Notamacropus eugenii: one gene and its partners. The protein of the gene in region 2 purifies or fractionates together with the protein of the main gene of each other region. This does not show direct contact. Links are inferred from orthologs where the notes say so. Each region holds a gene or a part of one and is shown on either strand. Other genes may lie near its edges. The genes, in order: ZGPAT, OTUD5, RUVBL1 and SERBP1.

Region 1 (7,478 bases), on a different chromosome or scaffold from region 2:
TCAATAACTGTTTCCATGAATATTGTCACAGAAGAAGTACAGTGAAATGAATAGAGGAAGAAAGGAAACAAAGACCATTCCATTTCAGTACCTGATATATGATGAAAATAAGACATCAAATTTTAACAACTAACTGATTTTATCTGAATCTCAAAAAAAAATCTGATATCAGATCTAGCTTTCAAAATCACTGGCATGAGGCAATCATTTCAAGACACTGATTAAGGAAACCCTCAGTCTTCCCTGTCTTAATAGCTTACCTGTGATCCTCGCTGGATACCAAATTCCATCATCGTACTTAGCTAGACAGGCTGAGCCTGTGTGCAGGGCACTCAGGTCTGGCTCCTGAAAGGGACGAAGCTCATCCACAGCAACTACTTGCCCATGGGAGAACCTGCAGAGATTAGGTTAAGCACATCAAATATTCCCACCCATAAATGGCACTAACATCAGGTACCAAGAAGAAGCAAATCCAGTACCTGTCAGAACTTGTACTCAAATGCAGAGAATCAGATAGATGCCAAAAAAGAGGTAACCCATTCAAAAATAATGGAGAGTTTGAGAGCTGTTTTATTTTTACTATTTTTGGTGGGATAGGTTTTTGCAGTAAACTCTCAACTCTCTGGGAGTGGATTACTAGCTCAGTGGTTTCTCCACACTTCCTTTATGATAACCAGTTAGGTCCCACGTTCCTAATGTACAGTTAAAGTAAGAGCTCGCTCAGGTTATTCCACACAAAATCAAGCGTGCAAGTCTCTGATTATATATTTTTATCATATTTTTCACACCACTGCTCATTTAGTTGGGCTGAATTCTTTTTCAACAAAAAAGGATATGTAAAATCAAGGAAGAAGAGTCCCACCAGTCAGCTTAAGGCCAACATAGAAATATGCCTCTCCATAAACCTTGCAAACAAGAACAAAACCAAAACCAAATAATACCCTTCAGCTTTCCCTATTCCACCCAGTCCCTGTCCCTCCCCAAGACACATGGGAGTAAAGCCCACCACTGCATCTCACTGGACACATAGGGTACTCACTGTGGGTGAGTAGCTACAGCATTTTGCAAGGTTGCTTCACACATGTGCGATACAGGAGAACTCAAAGCACTCAAAGAAGTATAGTCCTATTTAACAGAGGAGTAAACCAAGGAGTGGAGAAGGGGAGATGTGCCTAGGATCAAACTATGGTCCAAGAACCCGCCTCCCAAAATGCACCCCCTCCACCAAAAAAACTCCAAACCCTAATTTCTAAACACTGTCATGCCCTATATTGTACTAATGAGGGCAAGAAAACAATACTGAGAATGCCTCATGCACCTCTTGGCAGCATGAGAAATGACTAAAAACTAAACCAATCACTCCCAACCATTTCAAGCTGAGGCTGTTGTCCTCAGTTGACTGAGTGTCTTCTGGTACCTGTAAAGACAGAATGGCATGAGAGAATTACCTGCAGTTCTCTTTGAATCGGCATTTTCCCTCCAGGAAGAAGGGACAGGGCTTTAGGGACTTATGAGTCGGGTAGAGATAGAGCACACGAACCCCTGCTGTGCCATCCTCTGACTGCTCTGTCCCCACAATCATGGCATTATGGTATTCCAGAGTGCCCCAGGAACTGTAGTAGGGAGCATTCACCTTCATCCCACTCAACTCTCCCTCTTCCTCCTCTTCATGCCCAGATCTGTCAGGCTCCGTTTCTCCTCTTTCAGGAGAGGTTGTAGTTTCAGCACCTTGAGTCTCAGAATCTGTTACTTCACGAATGGCATTCTGGAAAGCCAAATACTCAGCTTCATCCCTTACTGCGCTCTCAATTAGGCCAAGGCTTGGGTCCAGTGTGGCCAGGAGCTTACTCTTCTTGATGGACACAAGACTGGACTCAGTTAGCTCGATGAGCTGCTTTAAGTCAGCCTGCAGCTGAAGCAAGTCAGCTTTTTCAGTAGGGTCCAAGCCGGTCCCCAGGGCCAGCTCCACTTGCTGCAGTTGGACATGGTAGGTCTGGATGGAAGCTTCCACACTATTTTCATCCATCCTGCAGAGGCAGTCTGTAGCTCTTCTGATGATCTACTTGAGTATCCCTACATCCTACAAAACGCTGGCTAGGAGGCAGCTGTTCCACAAGCACCTTTAGGAATCACGATCTGCAGAGATGAGGAATAAGGCCATTTCAAACAGATGCTTAATCACAACAGAAGTCCTGGCGTTTGGGCCCCATCCCCCCTCAGGCTAGGGGAGGCATCATCACTCCTGTCAAAGGACAGCTACGCCAGAGCAAGGCCACTCGCGAGGGCAGGAACCATGCAGTCCTTTAAAATTAAGGTTCCTAAACTTAAAGCTGTCATGTAGTCGGACAGGTCTGAAGGGAAGATGGGATGTCAAAGTTAGTGGGAGGAGGAAGAGACAAAGGCCATGGGGAAGAAGGAAGAGGGACTGGATGAGGCCGTGGGGAGGGTGGAAGAGGGAAGGGAGGAGAGGAGAGCCGGTGGGGGGCGGAGAAATTATTTACCTTGTACAAATTGTGTACTGACTTAGCTGCCTAGATCTTATTTCCCACCAGTACAACGTAAGCTCCTAAGGGCAGAGAAGAGAACAAGGTGGAGGAGAGGGGAAGACTATAACGAAGAAGACGGGAAGGGGGAGGAGGAAGGGGCGGCGGTGGGAGCAGGGTGGTGGGGGAGGGGAGATGAGGCCTAGCCCTTGGGCGTCCTCCGCAGAGACCTCGCCCACAGACCCTCGGTGGAGGAATCGTTTCTTCATCTCTAGTCCTGCTCCCGAGCCCCGTCCTCCCTGCCCAGGTTTTTTCGGGCCCTATTCCCTCAGTAAGCTCAGTGTCTCTTCAGCCTCTCACCCCTCAGGCCTGGGAAGCAGCCGCCGCCGCCACCTCCACGGCCGCCATGAAACCGCCGCTCGGGCAAGACAACCATAGATGCCGTACTTGTTCTGGCTAGAGAGGCCCACAACAGCTCCTCGATTCCCTCACTGGGTCGCCACGAACCCACCGGAACTCCCTCCCCAGCTTCTGCCGTCCACCGGAAGTGCAAGCGTCATTGGAGCTGACGACCCTACCGCCCGCGGACTTCCGGTGTCTGCTGGGATTCGTAGTTTCCAAAAGGCCTCTCCTTTCTCCAAGAGTTCGGTGTGGACTCTATGTCCCAGAAGTCATAGCGCCAGGGTCAGCGAGAGAGGTCGACTCTTGCTGGCGGTAGAGGTAGTGGCCCGAGAGGGTCTCGTTCGGCCCTAGTGGCTGTAGTAGCCGTCGTTCCGGCTCCGTCTCTGAGGCGCTAGGCCGCAGGTAGGAGCCCCGCAGCCCGTTCCCTGTTGCTTCCTCACGGGCTCCACGTTCGTTGTGGAAGTTCCCGAGCCGCTGACTTAGGAGTTTGAGGCCGGACCAGAGAGTTCCCTCTGTGGGGAGGGCCCTTTGGCCGGAGCCGGCCTCTCCCTGGAGGCGAAGAGGAAGCGCATGGGTCGCTCTGAAACTCAGGCACGTCCCCTCCCTCCTGGCCCAGGCCGCGTCTGGGCCACAGGACCCAGTTTCCTAGGTGACGCTCCGGGCCCCCTTCCACTACTAGACTACACCGCCCCCTCCTCCCACTTCCGAGTCGTGGGTTCATCTTGCCCTCCCACTCCCCTTCTGAACCTGTGTTCCTGCACTGCCCTCTCGCTCCCCATTTTGGAGACCGTGGCGTTACGTGCCCCTGCTTTCGAGAGCCTTGCTCCATCTGAGCTAATAGGAATACATCGCTCTCAGCCACTCTTTCTTTTCCTTGCCCAAACCCCCACCCCTACCCAAGAAAAAAAGGAAAGAAAAATAAAGAAAGTGAAAAAAAGTATGTTTCTAATGTTCACTCAGTTCCTTAGTTCTCTCTTTCTGGAGAGGGATGGCATTTTTCATCACAAATCCTTTGAAAATGTCTTGATTCATTGTATTGATCAGAGTAGCTGAGTCTTTCACAGTTGATCATTATTACTGTAGAGCTACTGTTTATATTTGTTGTTCAGACTTTTCAGCTGTGTCTGGCCCTTCTTGTCCTCATTTGAGGTTCTTGTTAAAGATACCGAAGTGGTTTGCCATTTCCTTCTCCACCTCATTTTACAGATAAAGAAACTGAGGAGAACAGGGTCAGGTTGACATGTCTAGGGTTGCAGAGCTAGTAAATGTCTAGGGCTGGATTTGAACTCTGATCTTCCTGACTCCAGGCCCAGCCTTCTATCCACTGCCTAGTAACTGCCTCAATATTGTGTTACTGTGTACATTGTTCTCCTGGTTCTGTTCACTTTGCATCACTTCATATAAGTCTTCCCACGTTTTTCTGAAGTCATCCCCCTCCATTCCATCACAATCCTACCACAGCTTATTCAGCCATTCCAAGACCTTTTTCTGAGCCATAAAGTCCTATTCTTATCTCCCACCCCACTTTCGTTTATGAGCTAACATCAGAACTAGTGAGTCCCTGTGTGGGTGTCCAGATCAGTTGGTCTGCCTACTGATAGAACCCCTCTTGTCTTACTGCTGAGCCAGTAGGTCTGTCCTATCCTAGTGTTCCAAACCATTATTTGAAAACTAATACTCTTCTCCTTATCTGTTAGTTAGTTCAAGTCAGTAGTAAAGGAGATGGTTCCCTCAGTGAAAGATTAGTCTTGTTTTTGTTGGCTGTGGTGGAGGTGTTGGTTTGACCCATGGAGCACAAGTTATGGGAATTTATGAGGCCCCTAATTTTTTCCCCATAACCTTTAAAATAACCCTTAAAAGCCCAGAATCTCTGGGTTATAGTGTTTCTCAAGAGAGAAAGGGACAAGTTTCTGTCTAGGTGAATGATAGTGGCCCCCATAAAAGAGTTGCTGTGCTATGCCACTTTGGTCCTTGGATATTTTCAGCTGTAGGCCCTTATGTTGAGAGAAGTTAAAAGGCCCATTTAGCCTGCTGAGAAGCACTCAGTCTAGCTCACTGTATAAAGAGAAAGCAGAAACTCACCCTGTTACATGCCAGTGTCTTTGGGGAAACTTTTCCAGTCACATGGAAAGAGCAGTGGGATAAGCCTAGTAGTATTATGACATTGTTATCACTGATCTTCCCAAAAGCTTAAAGTTTTTCAGTCAGAACCTAATCTTTACAAAATTTCTAGGGAATAAATGAGAAGTCTGTGGTATAATACTCATTTTGCCAATGAGGAAACAGGTTGATTTTTCTCAAGATTACACAGCAAAAGGAGCCTAGAATAGGATCCTGGACCTTCTGGCTCAATTGTTTTATCTGTTGTTGTTACGATCATTACTGTTGTTATATTGAAGGAAGCAAGGAAGATGCTGTAAGGAACAGAGTTCCCCAGCAGTATTCCCCAGTAATTCCTGGTTTCTTGTACTTTACAGGAGCAGGATGTATACACTCTTATCAGGGCTTTATAAGTACATGTTCCGGAGAGATGAATACTGTATCCTAATCTTGGGGCTGGACAATGCGGGAAAGACGGTAGGTAGTTTCTTTTCTGGTTACCTCAGTTCCTTTTTGTAAAATCTATTTTGCTACTTTTTTTTTTCATTCAGTAAAATTTCAACTGATTATGTGATAGCTCAGCTGTAAGTCTGAGAAAAGGTTATTGTAAGTGATTGTAAGAAAGGAGCATTTTAGAAAGGGGAAGGAGTGATCTTTGGATCTGTTTTTCTGAGACAGTTATGATAATTGGAGTGTACTGGTTAAGTGTTTAATAGCTGGGTCTCAAGTGAAAAAAGTTCATACAACACAATTTTATATTTAATCTGCATTCTTAACATTTCCTTTATCATTTTCTTAAGCCCAGGCAATCAGTAAGACAATAAATCACACTTTTATTATAGCATTTCTGAGGTGTAAATACACTGAAAATTTAAATGTCATTTTTCAAGAGTTGGTAGGAGCTAGCTATGGCATATTCCTGGATTGTAGAAACTAACAGATTTTTGGAGCTAAAAATGAGCTCAGCTGTTCTAATCTAGCCCTTTCTGAAATCATGAATCCCATCAACAGAATCCCTAATAAGCATCATTTCACCTCCACTTGAAGATTTCCAGTGACAGAGAACTCTTATCCCTTGAGGCAGCCCATTCCATTTTGGACAATTTTAAACTTACCTTCTTGTTTGTTTTTCCATCTACCTAGACTTTCCTGGAGCAAACGAAAACCCGATTTAACAGAAACTACAAAGGGATGAGTTTATCCAAAATCACCACTACAGTGGGCCTGAATAGTAAGTGGATCTTTTGGGGTTACAGAATCAGGAAAGCAAATAGATATAGTGTGACAATATCTCATGATGACCTAGGTGAGATAGCCAGGGAATAACAGATTATTCATTGATCTTCTTATGTGGTAAAGGAAAGAAACTGAATTTCTGAGAGCTGAATACCTTCCTTATCTCAGTGATTGCTACTCTGTGGAGTAGTGGGGAGTTATTTTGTTTTACTTTCAGATGAGAGATTGGGGAAAATGAAGTTTGTGTGACTGGGATCTTGTATTTTACCTTTAATTTCTCTTTTCTTCCTTCTTCTTTCCTTGAAGTTGGTACTATTGATGTGGGCAAAGCTCGCCTTATGTTCTGGGATTTAGGAGGACAAGAGGAATTGCAGTCTCTCTGGGATAAGGTAAGAAAGGAACTTTCTTTTTTTCCAGGCCTGTCCTTATGCTTAAGTTCCATAAAATTTTTAGAAACTCTATGGTCCTGAGGATAGTCCCATCACAAACCAGATACTGAGCTAGGTAAAGATAGCTCTTTGGTAATTTTACTGTTCAAAACCTCACAGTATGAATATTTTGACTTCTTATAGGAAGCAGCTTTACAAATAACTCCTAGAAATCTATCTGCTCAAACATACTATTTTTTTTTTGTTCATGCAGTTAGAAGCTGGAGTTTCCAGATGCCAGTTTCCAATCTACACTTAGTAATAGCTGTTTTCTGCACATCAGTGTCCTGCAAAAAAAAAAAAAATCTGTTCTACTTAGAATAATGGTTATTCCCCTAAAAGAGAAGCTTTTGCCTGGGCTGATAAAAAGACCATTTTTTTGGCAGCTTCAACCAACACTGGATTGCAAAGGAAAGATTCAATTAAGATTTCTCATTATTTTGTTAGCCAAGACTAGGGTATTTGGCCCATTTCAAAGCATTGAGCATCTTGGACTTCTGTGTCCCAACACTTCTACCAGTTGGCACATAGGGAGTAGAATAAAACAATATATGAGAAGCCCTTTTGAATTATTTTCTTTTAAGCTAGGAAAAGCATTTCCAACGTGGAGTTTTGCCCATTGTCCACTCTCTTATATCATGAATTATCTCCACTTGAGATAAGCGAAACTGACAATCACAGTAATTTAGAAAATCCTGTTTATATCGGGCCCTGTGCCGGCAGTTTGCCACCTCTCTCCTTCTCTCTTTGATCTTTGCAATGTGCTCTGAATATACTGAAGCTGCTCCTGGATGTTAACCTTTCTGCTTTCATTCTAGTACTATGCTGA
Region 2 (7,663 bases):
TTCCTCCACTGTGGTATCTTTGAGTCACATAGGAACTTAGGGGTAGACAACATGGCATCCACACCCCTTGTTATAATGAGTCTCAGAGACCAAAGGTCCTGCCTTTGGTACTTCCCACTCTGTAAAATGACTGCCTTGCACCTAGATATCACAAATGGCCTTTTCCACTCCAATCCCCACCTCGAGAGGGCACTGGGTCTCCCATCTCCATTCCACAGCCCCCCCTCCCCCCATCTGTTCCTGCACACATTCAGGTTTGGGATTAGGGCTGAAGGGAGCCCAAATCCAGCATTGGGTGTGTGCCCGCAGGTATGGGGACATGGTGCCCAGCACAATTGCGGGAAAAATCTTTGGCTCCATCTGCTCGCTCAGCGGGGTGCTGGTCATCGCCCTGCCGGTGCCTGTCATTGTCTCCAACTTCAGCCGAATCTACCATCAGAACCAGCGTGCCGACAAGCGCCGGGCACAGCAGAAGGTGCGGCTGGCAAGAATCCGGATGGCCAAGAGTGGGACCACGACAGCCTTCCTTCAGTACAAGCGCAGCAGGGGCCTGGAGGTGGGGTGCCGCCCTGGGCACAGGGCTCTGAAAGCTGGCCAGGGGAGGGGGCAAGGAATAGGGCTTTGCTGCTGAGGTGGCTCACCTGATGCTCTGCCTGTGCGCCCTAGGACCAAGATGGGGCCGAACAGCCAGCACTGAGCACACGAAGCCGCTCAGCTTTTGAACAGCAGCACCATCATCTTTTGCACTGTCTGGAGAAGACCACAGTGAGATCCTTCTCTCTCTGTCTCCCTGCTGACCCCTTCCCATTGCCCAAAAGCCATCTCTGGAATCCTGAGTCCTTTCTTTGTGCCCTGCTCAGGCTCTTGGCCTCCCTGTCTGTGCTCCCTCCTCCTTTGGGTCCTGCCTGCCATTGCTTGTTCCCCTAAGGCTCTAAATACCCCCTGATGCTAACTCTCCTCTCTCTCTCTCTCTCTCTCTCTCTCTCTCTCTCTCTCTCTCTCTCTCTCTCTCTCTCTACGTCTCTTCTCTCCCCCCAGTCACATGAGTTCACAGATGAGTCTACCTTCAGTGAAGCACTGGGAGTCATTTCCCTGGGTGGCCGCACCAGCCGCAGCACCTCTGTGTCTTCCCAGGCTGTCATGGGAACCAGCGCTCGGACTAGCAGTCTGATCTCTTCCTGCTGCCCCCGACGGACCAAGCAGCGCCGGGCCATTCGCTTGGCCAACTCCACTGCCTCTGTCAGCCGAGGCAGTATGCAGGAGCTGGACACTCTCGCTGGGCACCATAGCCCAGGACCCCAGAGGTAATGTGGCCTCCATTACTTGGGGCCAGGAAGCGAAGATTTGGGTAGGGGGCCCTAGGTGCCACAGGTGCAGATAAAGCTGAATGCAATCCCACTAAGATAAGATTTTAGAGGGCAGCGTGCAATGGCGCGCCCTTTCACAGCCCAGGGACTCAAGACATTTACCCTGGAAGGAATCTCAGTTATCATTCAGTCTCCCATTTTATGGATAAGGAAATTGAGGCTTATGGGTTAGACTGCCTCACCCAAGGTGGTGGATCTTGGATCCTACCCCAAGACCCTCTCTCCCTTTCTGCTTCCATCCACCAGCCGAGCCAGCCTCAATGCCAAGACTCATGACAGCCTGACTCTGAATTGTGACAGTCAGGACCTGGTGGCAGCCATCATCAGCATCCCCACCCCCCCAGCAAACACCCCAGATGAGAGCCAACCACATTCGCCTGCCAGTGACAGTGGGAAGGGGCCTGGAAGACCCTCTGGGGGCAGCAGCAGTAACAGGGGGGCTGTCCAAAACTCCAGCCTGGGCCCTTCTGATATTCCTCACAACACTGTCAAAATCTCCTCCCTGTGATTGAGGGGGCTTCACCCCTCCTTTGGGGCATTGGTTCCCCACCTTGGGTGTCTCCCTGTTTTGTTTTCAAAGCCATATTTGGATGGGGCAAAGTGTGAGGAAGATGAGGGGCACACTGGGGGGGGGGGCGGCATCTCAGCCCCTGTGATCTCCACTGCCCCTGAACAGGACAATCTTGTAGTGCAATGGAGTATGTATGTGTGTGTGTGGGGGGGGGAGGAATGGAGAACCAAAGCTCCGCTCGTGTCCCCTCTTCTCTGTTCTCTAGAGACATGGACATCAGTAGCTGGGAAGCCAGAGGGTGAGTCCTATTCTTGGGACCTGTCACAGACCAGGAAAGGAACCTGGTTGTCAGGGTGGATTCAGGTCTTGGCCTATATGTTCTCCATCCTTTGTCTCTGGGATCTTTCACCTGCTGAAATGGTGGCAGGTGGACCCAGGTATCTTGGGAGGGGCAAGTGTGCTTGCTTAGCACATCTGGAGGATATCACCATGTAGGCTAGCAGAGGCTGACTGAGAGATGTGGTCTCTGTCTCCTGCCCCTCCTCCTCAGCTGTCTCCTCAGAGCTTCACCCTGGGCAATGTTACCAGACTGCTGTGTCCTTGGTGAATGTCCAGAGAGATTTCCCTTCTCCATCTGGAGGACAGGTGACTGAGTGGGACAGTGAGGGGGAGTCTCCCCCTACCTCCTCATCTCATCCTCAGTATGGAGAGAAGAGCAGAAAGGCACCTGCAGGGGCTCAGCTCCCAAACATCTGACCTTCTGGTGACCCCCCCAATGACATAGGAAGCAATAGCTCTCAGCCTAGCTGTTTGATGCCCTTGAGATCCAGCTGAATTCTTGTGAGATAACTAAGGGCAGCAGGCCAGGAGGAGGAGGTGCTTTAGGGTCTCTCCTCAGTAGCTGCAGAGCTCTTAGAGCCTGCCTCAGTTTCCCTTCTAGATCCCCTCCATCAGCTGGGCTTCTCTGCCTGCCTACCTGCTTGCCTCTCTCCTGGCACGTCTCAGGTTTTCCCACCTGCCCCATGCTTGAAGCCAGTGCCCTACTGGATGCAGTTTAAACCAATAAAAACCCACACAACAAACCAAAGGAGACCTTGGCCCACAAGTGGGGGATGGGGGGGTGGGGGTTGGAGCAATACGGGGTGCTGAACTGGAGGTGACATCAGAAAGGACTTGAGTTGGGTTCCACCAACCACCTTCTTTCCCAATCTGGGTCTCAACTTGGTTATCTGGGAGATGGGTCTGATCTCTGCTTCCCCTGCCATTCCAGCGTGGGCTACCTAGCCTGCCCCAGGGGATGGTGGGAAAGCACGAACCGAAATGTCCTTGCTGATCCACCCAGAGAGAGGTCTGGGAGGCGGAGCCAACTGTAGAAAGTTCGGCGAGGAAATGAGGGTGGTTTTGTGAACCCCCAGAGGTGCCTGAGCTTTTCAAGGGGGACGCGGAGGGAAGTTCTGGCCACCAAAGCAAAGTCAAGGCTGACTGGCACCCAAGATGGGGTAGGCGCCCAGTCCGACCTGAAGGGAGCGGGTATTAACATCATGGTGGCCGAGGCAGCATTTCGGGTGGGGAGGGGATATGGACCAAGAGAAAAGCCCGCAGTCCCCGGAGTGCGAGGTGGGGCGGGGGTGAGGACGGGCCAGGTCGCAGGACAGAGACCTCGGCTACCAGTAGGCGGCAGCATGGACCGCGGAATGCCAAAGATGGCTGTGCGCGCATGGGATGGAGGAAGGGGAACGGGCGGAGGCGGGGCGAGTTTCTCGTTTGACTGACAGCCAAGGTTGAGCAATGAGAGGGTTAGGAGAGCCGAATGCCCCGGCCCGCGCGTCTCGGCGGGGGAGATTGGCGGGGAGGGGGGAAAGGGGAGGAGGGCTGGGGTGATTGACAGGAGGGGAAGGGCGGCGGCATGGGGCGGAAGTGACGGCGCGGGGGCTCGTAGGAGACGCGCTGTGGCAAGTCGCCAAACGAGGAGGAGCAGGCGCCCGTGGAGCGATTGCTCTTTCCTCCCACTGCGCCTTCTCTCAGGCCCTCGGCCGGGGAAGTCGCAAAGGCCTTCGTGCCCTCCGCCGCTCTCCGAGACGGGAACACGAGGTCCGGACTTAGCTCACCCCTCCGGGTACACTGCCCGCCATCCTCGACGGGGGCGGGGCAGAGTGGAAAGGGAGGGGGCCAGGCTCTCCTCCGCGGTCAAGTGCGTCTGCGCGCCCCGCGGGGGCTGGCCCGCCGCGTCGGGGTGTTTGTTTTTGTCAGTCACCTGGTGGAGCGGGGCGGGGCCTGCAGCCCCGGGAGTCGGGAGTGAGAGGAAGAGGAAAAGCCAGCGGCGGTTGCGGGGCTCGCGCCCCGCCCCCCTCCTTAGCCTCTTGTGCCGACCAGTCGGTCCCCGACTCGCGCGCTCAGCTCGCGGCACGCAGCGGACAGGGCCTTACCCTTGCCAGGGTTCGCTCCCCGGGTAGCCCCCTCCCCTTGGGCTCGCCTCGCCTCGCCTCTGCCCCCTCCCCATCCGGGGCCTGCGCCGGGCCCCGCCCCTCCTCATCCGGGTCCTAGGGCCCTCGCTCCGCCCCTTCTCCCTTCAGTTTCCCGGGGTCCGCCGGCTCTTTTCCGGCCTCCGCTCGCCTGGCCTTGCCCTTCCTTTCCTTTCCTTCCCTTCCGTGCCCTGCCTTTCCCGCCGCCGCCTCCAGTTCCTTCCGCTCCCGGCCCAGGCAGCGGCGGCCAGGAAGAGGAGGGGGCCCGTTCGCCGCTACAGCTCCGCGGGGCCCGTCGGCTCCCCAGCCCCCGGCCCCCGGCCCGGCCTGGCTCCGGCCCGGCCCCGGCGGCCCTGAGGGGGCGTCGGAGCCGGAGCCGCTGAGCCGCAAGCTCCGGCCCAGGCCGAGCGTGCGCCCGCCGGCGCCATGACCATCCTCCCCAAGAAGAAGCCGCCGCCGCCGCCCGGGCCGCCGCCCGCCGGCTCGGACGCCGACTCCGGCCCGGACGGCGAGCCTGGCGGCGGGCCCGGCGGCCCGGGCGGCGGTGGACCCGGCGGCCCGGGCGGTGGCGAGGGCGTTCCGGGCGCCGGGCCGTCTTCGGGCGGCCGCTCGCGTGCCTCGCCGCCGCCGCTGGCGCGATGGGCCTCGGGCGCGGGCTCCGCGGCTTCCCGGCCGCAGGCCTCGCCGCCGCCCCCGGGCCCCGGGGGGCCGGCCTCAGCCGGGGCCGCCGACGCTCTCGGCCTGGGGCTGGGCCTGGGCGCCGTGGGCGGCCCCGGCGGCGGCCCCGGCGGCGGCTGCTGCTCGGGCCCGGGCCACAGCAAGAGGCGGCGGCAGCAGGCAGGCCCCTGCGGCAACCCCGGCGGGCCTCCGGGCGGTGGCGTCGGCGGCGTGGGCTCGGGCGCGGGGGGCAGCCCCGAGCGGGACGAAGGCGGCGCGGGCTACAACAGCGAGGACGAGTACGACACGGCGGCGGCCCGGGTGGAGGCTATGGACCCGGCCACGGTGGAGCAGGTATGGCCCGGGGAGGGGCCCCCGCGTCTTCGATCGTTTGCCCGGCCCTCTCCTCTTTGTTCGATCCGGTGGGGAGTTTATGAGGCCCAAGCGCCCCCCCCCCCGCCCCCCCCCACCGTCTCGGTCCTGCTTCCGGGTCTTGGCTCGCTCCATCTTTTCTTCTCGGGCCACCTCTGCTCCCTTCTTACGCCATGCCTGCCCCCCCCCCCCCACCTCGGGCCTTTTCGGATTCCTTGTTACTTCCCTGCGCTCCCCTTTCCCCCCGCTTTTCGAATTTTACCCTTTCTTTCCTAGGCCCCAGCCCTCTGATTTTTAATCCCTTACCCCCCCATTCTAGAGTCTCCTGGCTTTTCTGATTCCGTCCTTGCCCCCCTGCTCTTATTCATTCTTGGTTCCCCCCCCAGCTTTTTTCACCCTTTGCCCTATCCTGCCCTCACCCCATTTTCTTGATCCCCAGCCCCCCGTTGCTGCTTTTCTTGCCTCTTTCCTTTGCCCCCCCCTTGATTTTCTTACTCCTTGGGGCATGCCCCCCAATCCCTGGAGACCCCCCTGCTTTTATTCTATTTCTGATCCCCCCACCCTCGCTTTTCTTACCCCATCTTTCCTTCTCGTTCCCCCATGGAGCCCTGTTTCTGCTTTCTTTTGTAATTTTTCTCCCCAAAAGTGCTCCTCTTTTCTTCCTCTTTCTCCAGGACCTTTTCCTGCCTACCTACCTTCCCCTATTCCTTCCTGGTTCCCCTTCTCTTCCCATGATTCTTCAGGCCAAGCAGGGAAAGGGGAGAATGGTGGCTGGAGGCTACTGGGTCTCTGTAGTCCTTCTGGACCTCAGCGATGGGCATAGGTGCTGTCCTGTATCTTCTCCACTATTTTGGAGGCTCCTGAGGACAGGACTGGCTGGCAGAACTCTGTTCTTCCATTTCCAGTGCACTCCTTGTCTGAGAGATGAGGATGAAGCAGATGTCAGGGTGACCTGGCTCCGAGTCCTGTTAGTGCCTCTGTGGCCTTGCCCAGCTCTTTAAAGTCTCCAGAATTCTTAGCTAGTACTCCTGGAGAAACCTTCCATAGTCCGGGAGCTGCTTTGAGTCTCTCCTGCCAAGAACCCAGACTTAAGGAAGCCTGACTCCCATGCATATGGATGGCCAGGCCTTCAGGTGAACATTTGCATGCTGGAGAAGGCCATGGGGGGCCCCAAGGACCTGCTGACCAGCAAGTTGGGGCAACCCTAAAATGCGCACCTTCAGCACAGCTGGCCAAGATATCTTGGGAGAGAGCTGGTGCATCTCCTTTCTGTTGGGGGACTGAGAAGGGGGAGGGGGGGACTAAGGTGTTTAAGAAGAGAGAGGCTCCACTGGGAGTGCCCTGAGGCCCAGGATTTCTACTTGTCAGCTGAATTTGAGGAAACTTTTCTTTCCTGAGCTACTTCTTTGGGGGAACGGAGGAGTTGGGGCCCCCTTTTAGTTGTAACTGGTCCAGTGCACAGAGCACAAGACCCAAAAAACTAGAATCCAGCATCAGATGATTCAGGCAAGACTTCTTTTGTGCTGGACTTGTGTCCGTCTCAGTTTCTCTGTAAAATGGGGATGATAATAATATCTACCTCCTAGAATGATTCTGAAGATCCTCTGGTCTCCAGAGCGCTTGGTACTTAGTAGGTGCTTTGTAACTGCTTGCTCCTTCCCTGTGGGGGCTTTTGTCCTGGGTCAGGACTGGGCCCAAGTTTGCTGCCTGGCCTTTGGGTGTGGGGTGGCAGAGGGGTACAAGGATGTAAGAAGAAAGGCAGGAGAGGAGCTCCAGGGACTAAGAGGAACCATTTGCCTTGTTGGAGAAGCACCCCTCCCCAACTTGGATTCTCTGTTCCATTCTCCCTCCCTGAGCAAGTTCTGGTCACCTAGCAAGGACTGCTTCCGGCCTCCCGAGTGGGCTTCTCACCTTCACTGCCTGCAAGGCCACTGTGGGCAAAGGAAAGGGGGGGGGGGGGCAAGTACCCTGAAGCTAACTGCTCTTGGTGCCCTTCGCCCACGTCCAGGCCTGGCCCAGAGCCCAACCAACGACTTCTGGGGACACTGGACTTTTTTTTTTCTTGTGCCAGATACCAGGTGTCAGCAGGGTGTAGGGGGAGGGCGATGCTTCACACCGGCCAGTGTACATGTCTGTGCCCCCTACCCTCTCACTTCACCAAAAGTACCCCCACGGGGGAAAGAAGTTGGCTTGCCCACTTGGACTGCTGTGCCCAGGGCCTACATGGCTCTCCTCTTTGCTAAGCAGCAATGCAGGGCCAAGACACTTGTCTGTGGCTGTCATACCACATGCCC
Region 3 (7,169 bases), on a different chromosome or scaffold from region 2:
TATGTCTTTCGAGGAGATCCTGGAACTGCCACCTGAGCAGTTAGTGCAGCCCTTGGAGCTGAGTGGGCCAGGATTCCCAGTTACCGCAGAGCACCCAAAGTCTCTGTTCTCCACGTCTGGTGAAAAGCAATGTCTAATGTTTAGAGGATTTCAGATGACATAACCAGCCCTCATAACCAGCTCACCCTCTTCTGAACTCAATTCCACATTACGACCAATCGTGTAAAGTTAATAATTATGTGATTTTAAAAACTGCTCTTTTCTTGCGTGTCGCTCTTCTTCCCAGGTTTGAAGGTCCTTGCTGGGACGGCCCCTGTCACCAACCGAAGCTCATTCCCATGGCACTCCCAGAGCCAAGCATGCAGAGAGTTCTCAATCAGTACTCACTGAATTAATCTCATACCCTTCAAATGGGCAATAATAAGTTCTCAGAAGCCACAGAGCAAAAAGTATTTTTCTGCAAGGAGAAGGAATAAGATATAGAAGACAAGTTTCAGACAATGAACCTCCTCCGAGGACCTCAATCCCTCTTCCCTGGAAGTATGCCAGGAGAGTCTGAGTGTTAAGATACCCAACTATGTGACTTCACAGTGGTCCTTTTAAAGAAACCTAATCAACCTGGGAAGACAAAGCATAGTTAAGACATAAGTTCAGTTTGGTTTAGACATTGAGACCACTCTCTGGATAGATTAGAAAAATGAGAAAAAAGATACCTTGCCAGTTCCAGGAGGTCCTGCCAACAAAACAGCTCTCCCAGCCATTTTCTTGCTTTTGATTAATTCCACTATCACACCACATGCCTAGACACCACCAAAGGAAAAGAAATAATAACATCAATATGCAAACATTTCATAAGAAGTTCCGGTTGTAGCTCAAGAAGAAGAGATACACAGTAATTTTATCAGACAATCTATCATGCAGCAATCTTAACTAGTGGTTGAATTTCAACAAGGTAATAATCGATGTTCACTATAATAAATAACATGGCTCTGAAGTCCTCTTCATGTGACATTCCTCACTGGGACACTAAGACCATCCTGGGATCCTGAAGACCTGACAGCTCGCAGGATCATCAGCTTGAGAGGCAGATGAACCTGAAGAAGGGATGCCCTGAATCACCTCACTTTCTGTTGGGCCCAGAGAAGTTAGGGGATTTGCTGATGGGGTCACAAAGGCAGTTACTGGTTGAGGTGGGAATCAGCATGGTCCTCCAGTCCAAATCTAGCCCTTCTCCCACTATGCCTCACTGCTCTGTCCTTGCTGCTGCTGTGTGGGTGTCCTTTGTTCTCAAAGAAGACCATGACATTGGGAATACGCCATGACATGCAAGTGAACTGGATTACAGTGAGGGAGGGGCTGTGCAGAGTCACCAGCCTCACTTGGCCAGAGCCATCTGGACCCAGCAGCCAGATACTGATCAGGACAACTGGCCCAGGAGGCCGTGGGACATCTTGGTCTTTAACAAGTCTCTGTTTGACTAAAGCAGCACCCATACTCTGTCCTACCCAAGCAGCAAAGGGCTACTAGAACACATCCAGTGACAGAAGGACTAATGTTTATACTGCAAAGTCCAGACTAAGTTCAGAAAGACTCATTACCAGAAGGAACAAGGTCATAAAATGGGTTGGGGGGTAGGAGGGAAATGGGGTACAACAACTCAAGGAGACTGTCTCCTCATTAAGGCATGGAGAAGTCAGAATACGACCTCGTGAAAGGAGTGTCCCATGTGGATGAAACCACAGCTCGGCTGAAGCCCAGGGTATGATAAACAATAACAGTTTACAGCGTTTTCATGGTTAGAAACCACGTAATACCTCCTCCTTTCAACACGACTTATTAAAGCACCTACTCCAAGGTAGATACAATGACAGGCACTGGACACAAGGGCAAGAAATTCATTAGTCTCAACCCACAGGTTTTACAATCTCATTCAGCTGGAGAACTCCTTCAAGGGAGGTCACCCATTGAAGATGAGGCAACAGGGATGAATGAAGCCCTGTACTCAAGGGCATGGGGCTGCTTTATCTTCGATGGAGCAGCCCATGTATGGAATATCCGAGAACCCTCTAGCAGTCAGCCTGTTTGGTTAACTGCTGCCAAATCCATGGACCTTCTGTTGGAGGTCCATCCACGCTTTCCTTAGCTGAGGGTAGTAAGGGGTGGGGCAGGCAGTGGAGGCAGGAACCCTGAGGTCCAGGTCTGCTTTGGGCCAGTTCTCTGGGGGGCTCAGTTTTCTCATCTGGAAAAGGCTCGCGTTCCCCTTGCCTACAATACCTTTTTAAAGACCAATTTATTTGTGAAAATTACGATTCATCTCCCTACCCTAGCTGGCCTATCTAAGCTGTGCTCGCTATTCGGCACTCAGGGCGACACCACGAGTTCAGGGTGGTCTGGGGGATCGAATCCACTGCCAAGTGTGTGGCACGGTGCCTGGCACGGGGAGCTCGCCTTCGGTAAAGCTTAGCGCTGGTCGTCATCCCTCGGCGGGTCTGTTCGTGCCCTGCAGGCAGCTGGTGGAGCACACCACGAGCCTGAAAGGCCCAAGTTCACATCCTGCTTCAGACGCTTACTAGCCAGCCCGACGACGGCGCGCCAGTCCCTTCACCCCTGCCAGCCTCAGTTTCCTCGGCTGTAAAATGGGGCCAATAACGGCCCCGGCCTATCCTCCCCCGGGTGGGGGTGAGGCCGTCCGTGCCGCTGCCCCCTGCCCTCTCCAGCCTCCTCTCCCCGTCGGCGCCCCGCCCGCAGGCCCGACGCCCGACGCCCGGCGCGGCCCCTACCTCGCGGGCGTTCTCCTGCCCCACCAGCCCCGAGGCCGCCTGCTTGGCCAGGCCGCTCTCGTCCAGCCCCAGCCCCTTCACGTGGCTGTGCGAGGCGATGCGCTGCGTCTTCGTGGTGCTTTTCACTTCCTCGATCTTCATCTTGCCGCTGAGGACGGGGCCGGCGGGGCTGCGGCGGCTGCGGGGGAGCGGGCCGGGAGGCGGGCGAGCGGCGACGGCGGCGGCCGAGCTCCGAGCCCCGGGCCCTCTCCGCTACCACGCGGCCGTTACCAGGGCGTCCGGCCAGCGCCCGCCCCCCGCCGCCGCCCATTGGGCGCACCGGCGGCGGCGCCGCTGCCCATTGGGCGGCGTCCGCGTCCGGCATCCGCGCCCAAGAGGGCCCGCCCATCCACTTCCGTCTGTGTTACTAAGGTAGCTTTCCCCCACTGCGACTGCCGGGAATGTGCGCTTCCTGGCGGCAGCCCGGCCTGGGGGTGTGGCCTCTGGGCCGCACGTGGACCAGAGCCTGGCTCTGTGTGCGTACAGAGGTGCGTTCGGGCTTTAGCCGCCGAGAACCGATACTGGGGAGTGTGGGAAGGGGAGCAGGCGCAGCTCCGGGGAGCTTGGAAGGCATCCTGGCGGCGAAGGGGAGGGGGCCAGCATTCCCGGCCTGGAGGCGGGAGATGGCCGAGGCGGGACCGTGCGCAGAGCCTGCGGCGCTGCTGGCCTCAAGCAGGACCCGCTGGGGGTTTTACAAACCAATGGGCAGGCGGGCATCGGGTGGCCTGGGTACAGAGAGGAGGGCGGCGACAGGTTTGGTCAGGAGGGAGACAAGGAGAGAAAGAGACCCCCGGCTTGAATGGAGCGTTCTGGCTGAGCATCGGGGACGAGCCGGGGCATTGCGTGGCGTGGCCCGGAATATTTCTCTTTTCTCTGGTTTTTTCTGCACAGCCTAGGCTTCGATGAGGCGGACACAGAGCCAGAAAGAGCTACCCTGAGTCCTGCTTCAGGCACTTAAAAGCTGTGTGACCCTGCGCAAGTCCCTTAACCCCAACTGCCTCATCCTGGGTCATCTCCAGTCATCCTGATGACTATCTGGTCATTGGATCCAGACGGCTCTGGAGGAGAAGTCAGGCTGGTGACCTGCACAGCCCTGCCTCACTCAAAACAAAGTCAGGTGCCAGTCACGTCATAGTTTCTCTGCCAGCTTGGTCTTCTTCATAAACAAAGGAGGAACCCAGCCTCATGCCTGGAATGCCCTCCCTCTTCTCTGCTACTGACTGGTTTCCTTCATGACTTGACTCAAGTGGCAGCCTCTACATAAAGCATCTTCTGATCCTCTGACTCCTAGTGCGCTCCCATAATGGCCTTGTAATACGTGTGTATATGTGTATATATTATTACTGTTGTTGAGTCATAACTTACATACTCATAAGAATACACTTATTTTCCCACCTCTACTCTCCTTCTGCCCTTGGGTTTTTCCATAATGTCTGGCACATAGTAAATACTTGTTGATTGATGGATTGATAGACCCTCAGTTTCTGTAAAATAAGGCTAATAATACCTGAAGGATTTTCTTTAGGCTCAAAAGAAGTATGTCTACATGCATATACATATATATGTATACATGTGTATGTATATATAATATATAGTGTATGTGTTGTGAGTTCAGTTGTGTCTGATTCTTCATGACTCTATTTAGGGTTTTCTTGGCAGAGATATCAGAGTGGTTTGCCATTTCCTTCCCCAGCTCACTTTACACATGAGCCCTCCACATGCCCCAGACAATCTGGCCTCAATCTACCTTTCTGTGCTTATTTCACACTACTGTTCTACCCACTAGACCTTTCAGCCACACAGGACCACTAGCTGCCCCCAATTGCGTCTTTGTGTTTCTAAGGTACCATTTTGTTGTTCATTTTCAGTCACGTCCTATTCTTTATGACTCCGTTTGGGGTTTTTTGGCAAAGATAACTAGAGTGACTTGCCATTTCCTTTTCCAGTTGATTTGACAAATGAAAAAGCAGGCAAACAAGGTTAAGTGATTTGCCCAGGGTCACCAGAGCTAATGTCTGAGGCTGGATTTGAACTCACAAAGATGAGTCTTCCTGACTCCAAGCCCAGTGTTCTATCAATTCTATCCCAGAATCTCTACTTTAAACAGTTAATTATAGCTACCCAAGCTAATTAGAACTACCCAAGCAGACGAATGGAGGGGTATCAGTGGCAATTGTCAATCCATATACTTCCTGAAAGAGCACTAAGTAGGAAATTTTGTTCCTGGGGAAAGAGGGAGCCAGAGTCAGAAAGCAAAGCTGGGGATGTTCCCTGTAAGTGGGAGAGAGGCTGATCACTGCTTGGGAGGAGAGGAAGGGACAGGATTATGGGGGCAAGCATGTACCAGGACAGCTGCCATCACTGAGGAGATGACACCAAGGTGGGGAACTCCCTTGAAGAGTAGCCACTGGTGGGGAGGATGCAACCCCGAAATAGTACCATTAGCACTCTCAATTTTGGCACCCTAGGGTAAAACTCTTGCTGCTGCACCCCAATGATGACAGTTTTTAGGTTTCACGGTGCGATGGATACTCCTCCCCTCCCCTTCCCACTGCTTCCTGTTCAGGTCCATCTTGTCATCCAGCGATTAGTAGGTGTGCTCCCATTACACTGTGGCCTTCAAAACACCATCACTGTCATTCACATCTCTTCCTCCTGATCCATCTCCCTGTGTTCTGGATTCTCTGTTTCCTCCAGACTGAAGTTTTAATCGTATGCAGTAAAACAACCACCACACTGGAGACCACGTATACCTCATGTCTGCCAATCCAAAAGGGCTGAGCAAACAATCATGCTGGCTGGAACTCCTCCAGGGATACCTCTTAATGAATGAGGGTCTGCCTGAGACATGAGCCTGTGGGTGAATATACCTACACTTGGGTTTTAAACTTTTTGGGAGGTTTGATAAAATTGTAGGCCATGGGCTCTGAAACTGAGGTTTGTGAACTTTATTTGTAAAAAATATTTTGATGATTATCTTTCAATATAATTTGTTTCCTATGTAATCCTATGTATTTTATGCATCAAAAAAATTCTCAAATGAGGTGATATATGTAAAGTGCTCTACAAACCTTAAAACACAATATACTTGCTAGCTATAATATTATTATTAGTCTCCAGGTTTCAACAGACTGCCAAAGGGACCCATGGCACAAACAAGGTTAAGAACCCTTGCTTTAGGGGCAAGACAAGCTAATTTAAGAAAGCATTGAGAATTCACGTTGGTCTCATACCTTGTTGCTAGACTGAACTGAAGGGGCCTTTGAGTCTTTGTTTTCCTTTTTCAAAAGGAAGATGCTAGGAGCGTAATCCAATATTTGGCAGTCCTGATATAAACAGAAAAATAATCCCTGCCATTCTGAATAGTTCAGTCCTCAGTCTTAATCAGTTCATTTCTGAGGGTTTCCTCTGCCCTTCTCAGCCTGCTCCCTGCTGACATTATGTGATAGCTGAGGTGGGGGCTGGAGGATGGGCAGTTGTTTGTCCTAGACTAAACGTTTACTATAGAAAGGCATTGCCCAGGTTCACATACATCTTCAGATTTCAATTGTACGTGCTTGCTGGTGTCTACAGTTGTCAAGTGACATATTATTAGAATAAGGGAATGTGTATGAATGCCCTTCACCTTTTGACCTTCTCCCCCAAACCTAACTTCCTGCTTCTCTTAGCATGATGACCCTAGGCTAATGTTTCACTGTTTAAAAAAAAAATTCAGAAGTAACTGCCCCTCTGCTCAGTTTGCAATGATGGTACAGCAAACATTAAAATTCCATTTGTTTTTATAAGACTCAGACTCAAAAGTCTTTTGATCCATCACTCTTTGACATGGAAGTGACCCTGAGTTCGTGAAGGCTCTGCCCATAGATTGTAAAGTCTTGAAGATTGCAGCCCTGACAAGTCAGGAAGGCAAGGCTTCAGTCTCCACCTCTGATCAATACTAGCTGTGTGACCTAAGGCAATTGGACTAGATGACCTCTAAGTCCCTTCCAGTCCTAAATCTATGACTGCTTTTGATTTCCCAGGACTGCACTGGTTAAGTATGGAGAGGCTCATCACCAGAAGGAGAGCTACCAGGTGATGAAATTTTTAGTCAAGGACACTCAGGAAACAAGGAAAAATGTAAAATGGCCTTTGGGTTCAACTTTGTGAAGTGAAAAAAAAGGGGACGGTGAATGCTAAGAATCACAAAGTATTTCACTATCTATAAGCATGGACTTGACTATTGATACTCTAGCTTTGCCCAGACCCCCATGCTGATATTCTCCAGCTGTTTTCATACCATGATCCTTTGTTCTGGACACCATGTCTAACCTGGACTTCTACCTGCTGTCCTGGGGACTTAGGCTTCTG
Region 4 (8,073 bases), on a different chromosome or scaffold from region 2:
CCCAAGAAGACTGGAAAGGTAAGACAGGGTCAGTCAGGAAGGACTCTCAAAGCCAATCAAGGTTTTATATTGGGTCCTGGAGGCAATGGGGGCCACTGAAGTTTATCATTCACTCTCTTTTCCTCCAAGACATTCTGTGTGCTTTTCTGCCAGATTTATTTCTTTCCTTACCTGTGGATCTGGCCATCTGCCTCCTCTGGGCCAAAATTATTTTGGGCTCCCTACTGCCAACAGAGCAGAGTTCAGACGCCTTTCTTTAGCATCAATCAATCAACAAGCATTCATTAGACTCCTACTGGCAAACTAGGCTTCCCTGGGCATCTGAGGACAACAATGAAATTACCTCTACTCAAGAGGTGCTTTTTTTCCTAATGGAGGAGACAAATAAATATGTAATAAAAATACACAACAAACACAGAGCCTTCCACTACACAGTGTGAGTCACCTTTGCCCCCCATTAACTCTAGTTAAATTGTCCATTTTCTGGGTCTTGACATAAGCCTTGTTCCTTTCCAAGTCTGGGCCTTTTCTCAGCTTGTCCTCTGTGCCTGGCATGGCCTCCCTTGACTTTGCCAGTCTTACCTCCTCCAGGAAGACTGCTCCTCTCGGTCAATAAGGGACTTCACCGGATCTGAAAAGCAGTGTAGCCTCCAATTCCAGTAGACCCTGGTTCAAGTCGACCCTCTGACTGGCACTAGCTGGGTGCTTGATCAAAGTGAATAAAGTACTGGACTTGGATCCAGATGATGAGTGCTCCGATTCTGCCTCACACACTTCCTAGCTCTGGGACAGTGGGGTTAATTACAACTTCTAGAGTTAGTAGGGGTTCATGTGAACATGAAATGAGATAACAAGGATGTTTGCTATCACTATGATCTCATTAGTAGACAGAGCTTCTGCCTAGGAAAATCTCAGGTCTGGTTTTTACAGCAGTTCAGTAGCATACTTGATTATTAGGCAGAGACTTGATCTTTTCTAAAGTTGGAAGGGTCTCCCCTGGCACTGTTGGTGTTTAAGAGACATTTGTTGACACCCCCCCCCCCCCCACTAGTAGACTGTAAATGTCCTGAGGATGGGCATTTGTTTTTCTCTTGTCTGTGCCACCTACCCCCTTTTCTCCACACCTGGTGTGCTTTTTGGAGTGGATAGATTCTAGGTTTTGGGAATGAGTGTGGAAATTCCCAGAGCCTTTTCCTGTGAGTTGTTTCCAGGATGGGAAAGTACCCCCCATCTGTGTCTCTTTTCCGTTGGTGTAGGATCTAGAGGAGCAGAGATGATTGGATGGGAGAAAAGAGAAGAGGGCAGATTGGCAGTCATTTGGGGGACAGTTGGAGGCAGGGGGCTGGATCGTTGTTGATTTTGTAGTCTGAGAGTTGCCTGGCCTCTCTTACTTTGTGAAAGCTCTGTGCTAAGCCCTGAGGATGGGCATCTTAGCCGAGTCAGCTCCTGTTCTCCAGGACCTTACAATGTAATGCGGAAAGAGCACACAGAAAAGCTAGATGACAAGGACAAGGGAGCTGGGGACAAGCCTGAAATGGCTATACAGAACACCCTATGTTCTACACAAAGATCCTGTGTATACATACAGCTGTATATATTTGCATAGTCTTCCTTATTAAACTAGAATGTGAGTTCCTGGAGGGCAGGCAACGAGGTTTTCCCTTTTTCTTGGTATCCTCCAGACTTAACTTTGCAAGTTTTTAATAAATGCTTGTGAACTGACTGGCTAAGACAAAATAACAGAAACACTGGTCGGTTAGCCAAGGAGGAGCGTTCTCTGGGAGAACTCGGATTGCTCTCCTGGCCTGTGGTGATACTTGGATCTCATGGAAGCTAGAAAATGACAAGGCTAGGGTAATGCCTTGTCTCTACAGCAGGAGAGTGAATGAATGAATGAGTGAGTGAGTGAGTGAATGAGTGAGTGAGTGAGTGAAGGAGTGAAGGAATGAGTGAGTGAGTGAATGAGTGAGTGAATGAATGAGTGAGTGAGTGAAGGAGTGAATGAATGAGTGAATGAGTGAGTGAAGGAGTGAATGAGTGCATGAAGGAGTGAATGAGTGAGTGAGTGAAGGAATGAGTGAGTGAGTGAATGAGTGGAGTGAGTGAAGGAGTGAATGAGTGAGTGAAGGAGTGAGTGAAGGAGTGAAGGAGTGAAGGAGTGAGTGAAGGAGTGAATGAGTGAGTGAATGAATGAGTGAAGGAGTGAATGAATGAGTGAAGGAGTGAATGAATGAGTGAAGGAGTGAGTGAAGGAGTGAATGAGTGAATGAATGAGTGAGTGAATGAGTGGAGTGAGTGAAGGAGTGAATGAGTGAGTGAAGGAGTGAGTGAAGGAGTGAAGGAGTGAGTGAAGGAGTGAATGAGTGAGTGAATGAATGAGTGAAGGAGTGAATGAATGAGTGAATGAGTGAGTGAATGAATGAGTGAGTGAATGAATGAGTGAAGGAGTGAAGGAGTGAATGAGTGAATGAATGAGTGAGTGAATGAGTGGAGTGAGTGAAGGAGTGAATGAGTGAAGGAGTGAGTGAAGGAGTGAATGAGTGAGTGAATGAATGAGTGAAGGAGTGAGTGAAGGAGTGAGTGAATGAATGAGTGAATGAATGAATGAGTGAAGGAGTGAGTGAAGGAGTGAGTGAAGGAATGAGTGAGTGAATGAGTGAGTGAATGAGTGAGTGAATGAATGAGTCAAGAAGTGAGTGAGTGAAGGAGTGAATGAGTGAAGGAGTGAATGAGTGAGTGAAGGAGTGAGTGAAGGAGTGAATGAGTGAGTGAATGAATGAATGAGTGAAGGAGTGAGTGAAGGAGTGAGTGAAGGAGTGAGTGAATGAATGAGTGAATGAATGAATGAGTGAAGGAGTGAGTGAAGGAGTGAGTGAAGGAATGAGTGAGTGAATGAGTGAGTGAATGAGTGAGTGAATGAATGAGTCAAGAAGTGAGTGAGTGAAGGAGTGAATGAGTGAAGGAGTGAATGAGTGAGTGAAGGAGTGAGTGAAGGAGTGAATGAGTGAGTGAATGAATGAATGAGTGAAGGAGTGAGTGAAGGAGTGAGTGAGTGAATGAGTGAAGGAGTGAGTGAAGGAGTGAGTGAAGGAATGAGTGAGTGAATGAGTGAGTGAATGAGTGAGTGAATGAATGAGTCAAGAAGTGAGTGAGTGAAGGAGTGAGTGAGTGAAGGAGTGAATGAGTGAGTGAATGAATGAGTGAAGGAGTGAATGAATGAGTGAAGGAGTGAATGAATGAGTGAATGAGTGAGTGAATGAATGAGTGAGTGAATGAGTGAGTGAGTGAATGAATGAGTGAAGGAGTGAAGGAGTGAATGAGTGAATGAATGAGTGAGTGAATGAGTGGAGTGAGTGAAGGAGTGAATGAGTGAAGGAGTGAGTGAAGGAGTGAATGAGTGAGTGAATGAATGAGTGAAGGAGTGAGTGAATGAATGAGTGAAGGAGTGAGTGAATGAATGAATGAGTGAAGGAGTGAGTGAAGGAGTGAGTGAGTGAATGAGTGAAGGAGTGAGTGAAGGAGTGAGTGAAGGAATGAGTGAGTGAATGAGTGAGTGAATGAATGAGTCAAGAAGTGAGTGAAGGAGTGAATGAGTGAGTGAATGAATGAGTGAAGGAGTGAGTGAGTGAAGGAGTGAGTGAAGGAGTGAGTGAAGGAGTGAATGAGTGAGTGAATGAATGAGTGAAGGAGTGAGTGAAGGAGTGAGTGAATGAATGAGTGAGTGAGTGAAGGAGTGAATGAGTGAGTGAATGAATGAGTGAAGGAGTGAGTGAGTGAAGGAGTGAATGAGTGAAGGAGTGAGTGAAGGAGTGAGTGAAGGAGTGAGCGAAGGAGTGAGCGAATGAATGAGTGAAGGAGTGAATGAATGAATGAGTGAAGGAGTGAGTGAATGAATGAATGAGTGAAGGAGTGAGTGAAGGAGTGAGTGAGTGAATGAGTGAAGGAGTGAGTGAAGGAGTGAGTGAAGGAATGAGTGAGTGAATGAGTGAGTGAATGAATGAGTCAAGAAGTGAGTGAGTGAAGGAGTGAATGAGTGAGTGAATGAATGAGTGAAGGAGTGAGTGAGTGAAGGAGTGAGTGAAGGAGTGAGTGAAGGAGTGAATGAGTGAGTGAATGAATGAGTGAAGGAGTGAGTGAAGGAGTGAGTGAATGAATGAGTGAGTGAGTGAAGGAGTGAATGAGTGAGTGAATGAATGAGTGAAGGAGTGAGTGAAGGAGTGAGTGAATGAATGAGTGAGTGAGTGAAGGAGTGAATGAGTGAGTGAATGAATGAGTGAAGGAGTGAGTGAGTGAAGGAGTGAGTGAAGGAGTGAGTGAAGGAGTGAGCGAAGACAGGCCCCCCCAGAAGGGTCACGGCTGCCCCTGGCCCAGCCCTTCGCCCCAAGGCGGACCCTAGGGGCTCTCCAGCCGCCGCGGCACCCCCCCCCCTTAGCAGACCCCGACGCTTGGGGCGCACACAGGGGGAGCTTGGAGGAGTTGGGGGCGTGGCAGGCGCCCCTCCCCAGGCCCCCTGTAGGCGGGGACGCTCCGGGGGGCGTCTTGGGGGCTGGGGGGCGGACCCAGCCCGGCAGGGGGGCAGGAGGAGCCTGGCCGTGGCGGTCACAGCGGGGAGGGGGGGGGGGGCACCCCCGGCGGGGCTGGCGGGGGGCCCGGCCGGCTGAAGCCCCCCGAGGGCAGGCCGCTCTCCGCCTTCTCGGCATGCAGGGGCGGCTAATAAATGCACACCGCCTCCTGCCCACCGCGGGACGCTCGGAAAACCGGCGCTGCCTCGCGCGGCCTCAGTCTCCCGGCCTGGAGAAGAGGAGTAGGAGTGGGCGGGCCCCACGCCGGAGGGAGTGACCTTGACCGTGCTCGCCACGTGCGGCCGTCCTCGCCCGCCAGGGGGGCGGGGGCGCGGGGCCGGAGGCGGCAGGTGCTCGGGCTCGGGTCTCCTCCCCCGCCTCCCCGCCGCGCTCCGCCCTCCCCGCGCCGCTTCGCGCCCGCCGGCGCGCGCCGCCCCCTGGGAGTTGTAGTCCGTGCTGGCGCAAGCTCGGGCGGAGCGGCGCCGGCCGCCTGCCCTTCCCGGCGTGCCCCGCGGCGCCGGCGGCTCCCGGATGTGTGCGCGGCGCCGGAAGAGAAGGCGGTCCCTCTCTCGGCCCGGCCATCTTGTGGGGACGAGCTGAAGCAGGCGCCGTCGGCTCGGCGCGGCCCGCTGCAATCCGTGGAGGAACGCGCCGCCGGGGCCCCATCATGCCCGGCCACCTGCAGGAAGGCTTCGGCTGCGTCGTCACCAACCGGTTCGACCAGCTATTTGACGACGAATCGGACCCCTTCGAGGTGCTGAAGGCGGCCGAGAACAAGAAGAAGGAAGGCGGCGGCGGCGGGGGCGGCGGCGGGCCCGGGCCCAAGAGCGCGGCGCAGGCCGCGGCCCAGGCCGGCGCGGGCGGCGGGGGCGCGCCCGGGAAGCCGCTGCGCAAGGAGTCGCAGAAGGACCGCAAGAACCCGCTGCCGCCGCCCGCGCCGCCCAGCGCCGCCGCCTCCGGCCCGGCCGCCGCCACCGCGGCCGACAAGAAGGACGAGGCCCCGCCGCCGCCCGCCGCGCTCAAGAAAGAAGGTGCGGGCCGGGGAACCGCGGGGGGGAGGGGGGGCCCACGTGCGGCCCGGGAGGGGGAGGGAGCAGGGAGCCACGTGCGGCCCAGCCGGGAAACTGAGGCCGCGGCACGTGGCGAGCGGGGCGGGGGGCCGGGCCGGGCCCAGCGCGCCGGGGAGAGCGGAACCGAACCGGCCTCCGGGCCTTGCCGGGGGTAGCTGTGGGCATTTATCCGGGGTCGGTTCGGAACCGGCCCCTTGGGGACGGAGGGGGTGCGCCTTCGGGGGGCTTGCGGGGTTCGTGTCGGGGGCGGGAGCCTTTGTTCGTTCGGGGGTTTGGCCCCGGGCGCCCTCGTGCCCACCCTTCCTGCAGCTCCGCCCGGGCCCCCCTACTCCCAGAACGGGGGGCGCGTGCGGGCCACCCCCGAATCCCGGAGTGAAAGCCTTGGCGCTCCCGTCAGGGAGGCTCGGTGTCCGCGATGTGCCGGGCGCTCCTGGCCCGCGGGCATCGTGAATCCACAGGTCCCGTGTGCTTGTGGGGCGTCCTGCTGTGTAGACGGCGCCCGGGTCCTGTGTAGACGGCAGGGGGCGGGTCCCTGGGCCTCGCCGGACGTTTGTAGCTTGTTAGAGCGCGGCTCTGGGGGTGGCTTTCCGGGGGCTGCTGTTGGGGTCCGGCGCTGGCATGGGCGCGTTAGCCGGGCCTAAGCCGGGCCGGTCCGTCCGTGTGCGGGGCCGGCCGCTCTGCCCGCCTGGGCCGTCCCCGTCAGGAACCCCCGGCCGGGCTTCCCTACCGCCGCCCACCTCCGCGCTCTGCCCCGCAGGGATCCGGCGCGTCGGCCGCAGGCCGGACCAGCAGCTGCCGGGCGAGGGCAAGCCGATGGAGCGGAGGCTGGAGCGGCGGCCGCCCCGCGAGCGGCGCTTCGAGAAGGCGGCGGAGGACAAGGGCGAGGGCGCCGAGTTCTCGGTGGACAAGTGAGTGCGCGGGGCCTGCCGGGGTGGGGTGGGTGGGGGGCGGCCGGCCCCTGGGGGGCGCGGCTGGGAGCGGGGCAGACCCCGCGGGCCGACCCCAAGCTGCCGCTCTCGCCCCCCAGGCCCGTGCTGGAGCGGCCCGTGCGGGGGCGCGGCGGCCCCGGGGGCAGAGGCCGGGGAGGCCGGGGCCGCGGCCTGGGCAGAGGGGACGGCTTCGACGCCCGCGGGAAGAGAGAGTTCGACCGGCACAGCGGGAGCGACAGATCGTAAGTGGGGCCGCTGTGGGTGCGGGGGCTGCGGGGGGCTGCGGGAGCCCTGGGCTGCGCTGCGGCCGCGGCCCGCCACTGCCGTGTTAACTCAGGCGGGCAGTTCTTTCTCCCATTCGCATTTCAGCGGGCTGAAGCACGAGGACAAGCGCGGCGGCGGCGGCTCGCACAACTGGGGCACGGTCAAGGACGAGCTGACGTGAGTGTCCCCTCGGGGCCCCCCTCCCCTCGGGGCCCCCCTCCGCGCGGCCGCTCTGGGGGGGGGGCCTCGGGAAACCCTGGGGGGTCGTTGGGCGCTGGAGGAAACTGAGGCAGGCGCAGGGGAAGCCGGGTGCATGGGGCAGGATTTGAACTCGCACCTTTGCGGTGTCGGTCCTGTCCTTAGTAAGGTACGGTTTATCCGGAATTGGGATGTCGTGGAATGCTCGATGATCCGAGCTTTCCTTCCTTTCCTGGTATTTACGAACACGCGGACGGTTCTGGTCCCGTAGCAGCTGAGCTGGAGTATCTGAGTCTTGTTCGCTGCCGAGGATGAATGCTTTGATGCTCTTGCTGGAAGCTCGGGAATGTTTTGGGGTGGGGGGAGATAGTTGATGTTTTTATTTGGGGAGAGGGGCCGCACAACTGGGGAACGGATAAAGAACCAGGCGCCTTTCTTGTCTCTCTTTCTCTCCTTAGAGGGGGCCCCCAATACATTCAGAAACCAATGTCTTATAATTGCAGTGACTTGGAGCAAACCACTGTGACCGAGGAGACACCTGAGGGAGAAGAGCATCCAGTGGCTGACACAGAAAATAAGTGAGTTATCCTCTTATTCTCCCCCATCCCAAGCCACGGCCTCTCCCGAGCACAGGGACTCTGAATGGAGGTGGTGTTGGGTCTGATCAGAGAAGGCATTTTGATTGAAAGTGGAATAGTGATCATGAGGAAGAGAAGAGGAAAAGTTGACCAATTAATTGGAGATCTGGTGAGTCTCCTAGGTGACATTTTCTGATGGATGTGTCGGGGTAGAATTGGGGGAAGTTGTGGTAGCGCGTGGCACCTGTTTAGTCTTTTAATGCAGCCCCCACGAGGGACGAAGGGTCCGCTATATTTCCCTTTGACACTGAAATGGGTTTCACCCCATTTATGTGTTCAGTAAATCCCTGGATTCTTGTGTCTGAATGATACAGATTTCCTTTTAGATCAGGAACATAATTCTGAGAGGCCAGGTAGCTAGCTAGTGTTTCGTAACAGTTCTTCTTCTCCAGCCCGCAAGCCCTGAAAGTAC

The links.
Region 1: the proteins of OTUD5 (region 2) and ZGPAT purify together in Homo sapiens (affinity purification with mass spectrometry; 3 studies listed by BioGRID, with this or other methods). This does not show direct contact. The link is inferred for Notamacropus eugenii from reciprocal best matches to the Homo sapiens genes OTUD5 and ZGPAT.
Region 3: the proteins of OTUD5 (region 2) and RUVBL1 purify together in Homo sapiens (affinity purification with mass spectrometry, with the first as the bait; 3 studies listed by BioGRID). This does not show direct contact. The link is inferred for Notamacropus eugenii from reciprocal best matches to the Homo sapiens genes OTUD5 and RUVBL1.
Region 4: the proteins of OTUD5 (region 2) and SERBP1 purify together in Homo sapiens (affinity purification with mass spectrometry, with the first as the bait; 3 studies listed by BioGRID). This does not show direct contact. The link is inferred for Notamacropus eugenii from reciprocal best matches to the Homo sapiens genes OTUD5 and SERBP1.

What each region holds. Positions count from the first base shown.
Region 1 is NC_092872.1:496,789,276-496,796,753, forward strand, and holds the start of ZGPAT (zinc finger CCCH-type with G patch domain-containing protein), read right to left. Parts: upstream 2,844-7,478; intron 2,567-2,843; 5' UTR 2,502-2,566; intron 2,137-2,501; 5' UTR 2,027-2,136; coding exon 1,449-2,026; intron 395-1,448; coding exon 261-394; intron 1-260. Other genes in the region: ARFRP1 (ADP-ribosylation factor-related protein 1), read left to right, coding at 2,922-3,133, 5,369-5,462, 6,129-6,216, 6,528-6,610, 7,468-7,478. UniProt on the Homo sapiens protein: Transcription repressor that specifically binds the 5'-GGAG[GA]A[GA]A-3' consensus sequence. Represses transcription by recruiting the chromatin multiprotein complex NuRD to target promoters.
Region 2 is NC_092879.1:102,138,454-102,146,116, reverse strand, and holds the start of OTUD5 (OTU domain-containing protein 5), read left to right. Parts: upstream 1-4,634; 5' UTR 4,635-4,766; coding exon 4,767-5,351; intron 5,352-7,663. Other genes in the region: A-type voltage-gated potassium channel KCND1, read left to right, coding at 310-556, 667-765, 1,039-1,304, 1,614-1,875. UniProt on the Homo sapiens protein: Deubiquitinating enzyme that functions as a negative regulator of the innate immune system. Has peptidase activity towards 'Lys-48'- and 'Lys-63'-linked polyubiquitin chains. Can also cleave 'Lys-11'-linked ubiquitin chains (in vitro).
Region 3 is NC_092874.1:426,434,380-426,441,548, reverse strand, and holds the start of RUVBL1 (ruvB-like 1), read right to left. Parts: upstream 3,072-7,169; 5' UTR 2,922-3,071; coding exon 2,781-2,921; intron 801-2,780; coding exon 714-800; intron 1-713. UniProt on the Homo sapiens protein: Possesses single-stranded DNA-stimulated ATPase and ATP-dependent DNA helicase (3' to 5') activity; hexamerization is thought to be critical for ATP hydrolysis and adjacent subunits in the ring-like structure contribute to the ATPase activity.
Region 4 is NC_092873.1:527,951,600-527,959,672, reverse strand, and holds the start of SERBP1 (SERPINE1 mRNA-binding protein 1), read left to right. Parts: upstream 1-5,059; 5' UTR 5,060-5,229; coding exon 5,230-5,593; intron 5,594-6,389; coding exon 6,390-6,540; intron 6,541-6,659; coding exon 6,660-6,803; intron 6,804-6,906; coding exon 6,907-7,002; intron 7,003-7,481; coding exon 7,482-7,601; intron 7,602-8,073. UniProt on the Homo sapiens protein: Ribosome-binding protein that promotes ribosome hibernation, a process during which ribosomes are stabilized in an inactive state and preserved from proteasomal degradation.